Elephas maximus indicus: one gene and its partner. The protein of the gene in region 1 interacts with the protein of each later gene in a pairwise test. Links are inferred from orthologs where the notes say so. Each region holds a gene or a part of one and is shown on either strand. Other genes may lie near its edges.

Region 1 (3,916 bases):
CTCAAGAAATTAAAAAGGTATGATTTTACAGGGAAAGACACTGGACTTGATAACCTAAGCAGCTTCCTAACTCTCTTATACGTATACATATGTACGTACATGCTTTTAATATAATTATTACCATCTAAAATTTATCATACTTTGCGAGCTCTGAAAAGAATTTCCATAAAGTCATAGAATGATAAATAGGTTATTAAGGGGGATTTCAAATTACAACTTTACGTTTTAAGAACCAGCTGCTATGGAGTTGATTCTGACTCACGGCAACCCCATCAATTAGCAAGCTTTCCGCTGGTTGCTACAAGTCAGTGTCAATATGGAGAAGTTCTGATCCAGGCAGAGGCCTTTATCTTTTATGTCAGATACTCCAAATTCTCTCTTGCTCAAATAATTTTGTTGAAACAAACTGGAATTTAAAGTTAAGTTTTTTCTATCAGTTATTCAATTCAATCTGATAGCCATTTAAGCACTGGTTCTGAATTCATAATATCCTCACAGTTGGTGAGGCTATGGGGAAGAGGGCACTCTTGTACACTACTGGTGGGAATGTATACTGATACCTCTTAAGAGGAAAATCTAGCATCTATCAAAATTTTAAATGTGCATCACCTCTGACTCGGCAATTCCTCCTCAAGAAACACACACTCACTAGGCAAGGATATGTATAGAGCTGTTCACTGCAACGTCTTTGAAAAATCAAAGTCAACCTATATGATTGTTAATAGAGGAATGGTTAAAGTAGGGCACATTCGTATCATGGAATACAATGGGTGCAGTCCTTAAAAAGAATGTAACAGCAATGGTATTAATATGAAAGAGCGTTTATGATAGATTATTGAGAAAAAGGGGAAGGTTGGAGATCCTTAAACTTACAGAGGATGATCCCTTTTTATTAAAAAAAAAAAAAAATCAAACCAGACAAATGCATGTCATAGAGAAGTATGTCAGAAAGGATACACATCAAACCTTTAACACTTGTTATTTGGGGAGTGGGACTATGTGGTGGAGAAACTTTGAGTTTTTACTTTACATACCTCTGAAAGGTTTGAAATGTTTATAATGAAAACTTTTATACTTTTAAAATAATCAATGCTTTAAAAAATGTTCTACAATGTTTCTGAAAGGCATATCCAATTTTCTTTTTTATGAGTAAATCTGTGAGATAAATTCATCAGACTTTATTTCTAGATCTTAAACTACTAGCCCGCCAGAACTTCCAGAATCTTGAAAATCTTAATAGTTCATTTTGTTACTATGGGATAACAAATACATGGCTAACAGAAATGGGTACCAAAGAACTCAATAATTGTCTAGGATATGGATATAATTCAATATTTAACTCAGGTGTCTTATCGAAGATTTACATCTTTGATGGAGTTATTGAAAAAAAATTATTTCAGAGCTAAAGAGTCCCACTGATGGGAAGAGGGGAGAAATTGCACTTAATTCTCTGTGGTGCGGGAAATAAAATTTAAGGCTAATTGTCAGTGTAACCAGAAAGCAAAAACGAAGAGACGAACAAAGAAACCTCAACAGGAACTGAAAACCAGATTTAAGCCCCCAACTTTGTCCATCAGAAAAAGACAACTTGTGCTAAATGACACATATACTAATGGCAAAAACGGAGGGGGGCGGCGACAGACTACAGGTAAAAAGACAATCCAAGTGCAGGTTTCAAAGTTTGGTGTTGGATCTCCACAGTGACAAATGGCTCAGAGTATAATGTGAATATCAGATACAGAAAAGTACCTGTGATGATTTTCATAACCCTTTTCAAATTTTCTCTGAAGCCAAGAGCACAAATTACCACTTCCTTTCCTCCTCCTCTAAGGATCTAGCCTGGGAAGATGTCCCAGGCTCCACAGTCAATTCTGGAAAACAGTCAATGGGCGGAGGAGAGAGCCTGAGACACACACTTTCCCTTCTGAGGCCGCTATAGCCAGCAGCGGGACAAAACTGCAGAGCGGCGAGCAGAGCCACCAGTCGGCTACTGGAAACCCACCCAAACTCAAATCAAACACACCTCCCAAGGCCAAACCAAGGCGAAGGCGGGATACTGGCAAGGAAAAAAAGGAAAAGGAGCTGCTAATCTCAGGGCTATAATCACACACACGTGAGCCTGACCTGACCACAACCATTCAAGAGACAACGCAAAGCGGGGAGCTCCGAACAGGAAGACTGAAGTCCGGAAAACTTCCCTGGCTGTGCAGAAGGCCAACCCATCCCCTTTCCTCCGTCCCCCCGCCGCCCCAGCACTGCCACTCTCGCCGGGCCCCCTAGCGCCCAGGTGGCCTCGGAGCCGGTGGGCCCCGGGGTCGGACCAGCGAACGGCTGCACTCCCGGTTAGGGGGAAAGGAATAAAAACCAGTCACACCCCAGGGGCACCAAACTCACCCTGAAAACCAACATCCTCGACTCCGCTGTGGCTGCCATTGCCGCCCTCCTCCCCTCCGGCAGCAGCCCCCTGGGTCTCGGGAGCAGCCATTACCCAGCCGAGAAGAAACGGGAGGCCTACGGCCCGGGGAGGGGCATGCGGGGACCAATGGAAACGCAGCCGAAGGCGAACTCGCCATTAACGCAGCCTTACCTCCGCGCCCAAGCGGCGCCGTCACGCTCTGAGCCAATAGGACGCGGCGAGAGGAACCTAATTCCCGCCCCTAGCTACCCAAGCCACGCCCCTTTCCGGGATGGAGCCCGAGGACTACAATTCCCAGCGTGCCTCGGGGCGCGAGGATGGGCGGGCTGGACAAGGCGCTGGCGGGCGGGGTGAGCCCGAGAGTGCCCCGGCGTGTTCCCTTAGTTCAGTGAATCAGAACAATGACTGCGCCGCCGGGTTCTGGAGAACGCGTCCGACGACTGTGAGCAGCCGCTGCCGGGAGCGCGGCGGGCGGCGCAGACTCAGCGGCGCGGTGTCAACGCCTGGCTCGGGAGCCTCCAGCGCAGACCCTGCCCAGCGCCCGCCACCCGCGCGGAGCCGACGGGCTCTAGCGCTGCAGCCGCTACCCGGGTGCGGTGCATTGTTGTGAGCAGGAGACGGGGCGAGGGGAGTACAAAGCCTGAAGACCCCGGAGCCCCTTTAGCCATGTGGATACCTACGGAGCACGAGAAATACGGCGTGGGTGAGTCTCCGCGGGGCCAACTTTTATCCCTCTCTGGCTCAAGCGGGTGCGCATTTCGCGTCCTTGTCCCCGCGCCGCTCTTGCGCCGCGCGGCTGGAAATGCTTAGTCTTGGCATCGCGCAGCAGGTCCAGGGTTTGTCGAGCCAGCCCCGGGCAGGGGTGCCTCGTCCGGCCGTCCGTCCGCCCGTCCGCCCGGCGAGCTCCGCACCTCTCCCGGAGCGCCGGGACGGCTGGGAGCGCGCGGCCACCCGCCGGCTCCCGGCTCTGTCTGCGGAGTTTGGAGTGGCGGCGGGGCGTGTGCGTGTCAAGTTGGAAGGAGGGCGAACGGCACTCCTCTCCTTCTTCCCCAAAGCGGCGGGGAGACGGCAGTGGGCTGCAGAGATTTCCCAGGGTGGGGAGGGAGACGACAATAACCGGGCGGAGAGAACAACCCCAAATAGAAGGGAGGCGCACAACCGTCCCTCAGGCTCGCGTCAACATTCCCAGATTGCCGAATGTGGCACAGTCCTCAAAGAGCTGCTGACAGACCGAACCCGGTCCGAGCCTCAGTCTTGCCTCCCACCCGGATTTTATGGGGTGTGTTTTGGGAGGGGAGAGATTGATAATTTCAACGTCCGTGCCACTGCGCTCTCTGGTCTTTGGAGGGGAGCTGAGTGAGCACGGTGGGGGTGGTGGAGGGCGGCTGTGGAGTGAAAATGGGGTGGGGAATCGGAAAGCCTAGGTCTTCGAGGCTGGGAGGCAGCTTTTAAGAAAAGACTACTCTGACTCTGGCGTCCAGAGAAAAAGGAACAGGGTAG
Region 2 (3,916 bases), about 26 Mb from region 1:
AATGGTAATGTTATATTTGAATTCTTCTGAATGAACCATTGACTTCAATATAACTGAATGCTTGGCATGGTCAATAAACTCTGCCTTCTCTATGCATCTGGATGTCCTTGGGGGAGATGAAGGTTCTGACTTCCTCTCCTTGATTTTTTTCATACAAGATCTGTGGTATCAAATTTTGGCAAGAATTCTCTAATCTTCTGAGACTACACTTCCACTAAATAAAGTGAGTTTTAATTTTAAATATTATTAAACATTGTGAATCTCAGCATTTCCGAACTGAGAAAACATTTGTTATAAGGTAGGGTTAGGTAACATGTCTTGGTTTCTAAGCCTGGGTTAATATTTATGACATAGGTGAAGTGTCTTTATCAATACTTCCTGATTCTCTTCTATATACCAAATAATATGTAGAATGATAGGCAATGCTAAGGGTGTAAAAGTTGTGAAACATGTGGCCTTTTTTGTAAAACCTCTTACAATCCACTTCGTCTTAAGTTGGGCTCCCGAGAAGCAGAGGCTAAGACAGGAATTCTTGTGCAAGTGACTTATTAAGGGAGAGCTCTCACTATGTCGCCTTTAACCTGCTACATTTGTCATTGTTATTATCCAATTCATTGTGATAAAAAACCAAAAATACAAAAACCGTTGCCTTTGAGTTGATTCCAGCTCATAGTGACCCTATAGGACAGGGTAGAGCTACCCCATAGGGTTTCCAAGGAGCCCTTGGGGGGTTCAAACTGCCAACCTTTTAGTTAGCAGCCATAGCTCTTAACCACTACACCACTAGTGTTACAGAAAATTTCCAGGTATTGTTTGTAGAAACACTTCTAAGCAATACATTAGTTTATTTCCTATTATCAAAGTTCTTTACTATATTTCTATTCTCGTTTCACATTTCAATCCATTATTTGTAATGAACTTATAATGATACTTTTTATATGGTTCCCTGTTAATACCAGGTTAAATACTTTAGGGATTTAGGGGATTAATAGGCAGTCCTCAAAATGACCTCAAAATAATTGAACTGGCATAAATTATATGATGGAGGGCTTTGGGGTTAGAGATGAAGGTTAGAGACCCAAATTTTTACACTGTGCTGAAGACCAGGCCAAAGAGGAATTTTGGGTATTTAAGATTGTGTACTGACTAAACTGACCCCTCCCCACAAACCTACTGGCAGGTGTTCAGGATCAAATGCTTGGTTTAATCATATTATTAAAGATTAAAAAGACACTTTAAATTCCCCAGGCTAGTGTGCAGTGCTAGGATTGTTCAGAGAGCGTTCATGAGAAATCGATTATATCATAGGAATTTAAAAACAGAGAAACAGTTTACTTAGTAAGTCAAGAGATAAGGGAAGGGTTGGCTGATATTGACTCAAAGTAAGCCCAGCAATTCAGAAATATGCGTTAACATTCCACCTTTTTAGCAGGTGAAAGATGCCAGTGATCAATATCGAGGACCTGACGGAAAAGGACAAATTGCAGATGGAAGTTGATCAGCTCAAGAAAGAAGTAACACTGGAAAGAATGCTGGTAAGGTGCTGATATCTTTTGAATTTTATTTTAAATTAGAGAGACTGTGGGAGTCCCAGGTTAGATAACAGTAAATTGAGAGGTTCAACGTAGGGAAAATAAATTGTTCAGGCAAAAGTTCATTTGGATTAAGAAAATTAAGAATCAGAATGATCTCAATTTAGACTCTAAATCAAGTGGTCAGCAAACCATTACCCTCAGGCCAAATCCAGCTCTTAGCTTGTGTTTGCTTGACTACTTAGTTAAGTAAGAATGGTTTTACATTTTTAAAGATGTGCTAAAAAATGGAATAAACAAAAGACTATGAGGCAAAGACCATATTTTAGCTAAGCAATAAAATAAAGCAAAGCATTTAGGCATTCTGTTTTTACTTTTCTATATTTATCAGCTTCTCTTTATTTAATGCAATACTTTGATAATGTTCAAATACTTTTACCTATGCCCTCATCCTCCCCAGCATTGTCATGGCCAGTAATGAATGAGTACATCCTATTCTTCCTTTGAACATAAACAGCACTCCCTGGTTCCTCCTAAAAACATCTGACGACCTTGGAAACGGTTACCAACAGTTCTCTGCTGTTTAGAGGGAGCAGAGACTGCAAAGAAATGAAAATTTCCACCAGACAAATAGTGACTGGAGCTTGGAAAATGTAGATAAGTGCTTTGGGTCTCTTCATTTTAAGAAAGTGGAAAAAGGTTCCTCGGTAAGTGATAAAGTCATGTTTCATAACTTTAAAAAATAGCCTCACTTTATCAGGTCAAAATGAAAAAAGGAGTTCGTGTTATCTCTAGACTTTGTTCAAAACTCTTACTCCCAATCATAATTGGGATTTCTGGCTTTCTTTAAGTTTATAATTGTCTCAAACTTCCCTTCTATCCTTTCTATTTAGACTGAGGCAAAAACATGTTTTGCTGTAAAGATAAAAAATAAATCTGTAAACAGCACAAGAGCCGAGAACACGCATACACCAAAAAAAGTTAAAGTCCTCATCAGATGAAAAAAAAAGCCTTTTAGAGTAAAAACGACAAACAAAATCCGCTGCCTGTTCACTCGATTAGCAACCCTATAGGACAAAGCAGAACTGCCCCATAGAGTTTCCAAGGAGCGCCTGGTGGATTTTAACTTCCAGCCTTTTGGTTAGCAGACATAGCTCTTATCTGCTGTGCCACCAGGGTTTCCTTTTAAAGAAGAGTTGTTTTTATCTTCTTTTCTTGAAACATTGAGAAGTTGTTTTATTATTTATACACTCAGGATTGTTGTTTTTCAGGCAGTTTGGTTGTTGTCTTGTTTATTTTAACTTGCGGTAAGTCTACCTCGGAATTTTTCTTTTGGGCAAACATCACATCACCATCTGTCAGGCTGTTGGGTTCCTTTTCTCCATTACTCAGCTGCTACCTGGCTTTTGGAAATCCAACTAATTTTAATATTGGACTACAAAAGCTATAATTAAGGAAACTGAGTTACGTAATCAATGTATATTGAGCTCTGACTAAAGGCTCAAAGTGAGATAAATGTAAGAGGGCCCCAAAGCTACAGGTAAGAAATGTTACAGTTCATTCCAAAGTCAAATAGACATTGTCCGATACTCAACTACATGTCTTAGGAGTCTAAGGAGAGTACCACTGCTCCCAACTATAACATGAGAATGTGAATAATGATTGACTCTGGGGAAGAAAAAGGCAGACAATCCAAATGGCTTTATGCCAACATTGAATGGAAGCAGAGTGACAGGGTGGAAGCACACAGCTCATCCCAGGGTGTTCTCCAGTGTGTGACTGCCAGCAAGTGACCTCACATTTCAGTGGGATAGCAATTTAGCCTCTGTTTCTGGCATATAGGTAAGGCCAAAACAGCCAGCATCTGGAACAGTTTGGGAGGAAAGGAGTGAATCTAAAGTACTGCACATCTCAAAGTGTGGATAAACCTGAAAGTTTCATAATAAGAAGGATCCACATGACCAATGTTTCCTTGGCCTACAAAAAAAAAAACAACACACAAACCTATTGCCCTTGCGTCAATTCCAACTCATAGCAACCCTAAAGGACAGAGTAGAACTGTCCCCAAGGCTGTAAATCTTTACGGAAACAGACTACCACATCTTTCTCTGGTGGTGCGGTTTATGGGTTCAACCACCAACCTTTGGGTTAGCAGCCCAGTACTTTAACCACCAGGTCTCCTTGATGAGTGAAGAGAAGCTCATAAACAAATTAAAAAGCTCGGTTCAGATATTTATTTATTAAGAACCACCTACATGCAGGCTCTGATCCAGAGGCCAGGGATAAATCAGCCAAAGGCCCCCGATTCCTTAGAGCTGAACTTGTAACATTAGCTCATTGTCATGGTCAATCATTTTACAGGAATTTAAAATAAAATTGCATAT

The links.
Region 2: the proteins of ZNF277 (region 1) and GNGT1 interact in a two-hybrid assay, tested with the Homo sapiens proteins (3 studies listed by BioGRID and IntAct). The two-hybrid records come from large-scale screens. The link is inferred for Elephas maximus indicus from reciprocal best matches to the Homo sapiens genes ZNF277 and GNGT1.

The regions. Positions count from the first base shown.
Region 1 is NC_064826.1:37,506,924-37,510,839, forward strand, and holds the start of ZNF277 (zinc finger protein 277), read right to left. Parts: upstream 2,532-3,916; 5' UTR 2,486-2,531; coding exon 2,395-2,485; intron 1-2,394. Other genes in the region: DOCK4 (dedicator of cytokinesis protein 4), read left to right, coding at 3,083-3,119. UniProt on the Homo sapiens protein: Probable transcription factor. Involved in modulation of cellular senescence; represses transcription of the tumor suppressor gene INK4A/ARF, perhaps acting via the Polycomb group (PcG) complex PRC1.
Region 2 is NC_064826.1:63,849,972-63,853,887, forward strand, and holds the start of GNGT1 (guanine nucleotide-binding protein G(T) subunit gamma-T1), read left to right. Parts: upstream 1-1,262; 5' UTR 1,263-1,338; intron 1,339-1,429; 5' UTR 1,430-1,439; coding exon 1,440-1,535; intron 1,536-3,916. UniProt on the Homo sapiens protein: Guanine nucleotide-binding proteins (G proteins) are involved as a modulator or transducer in various transmembrane signaling systems.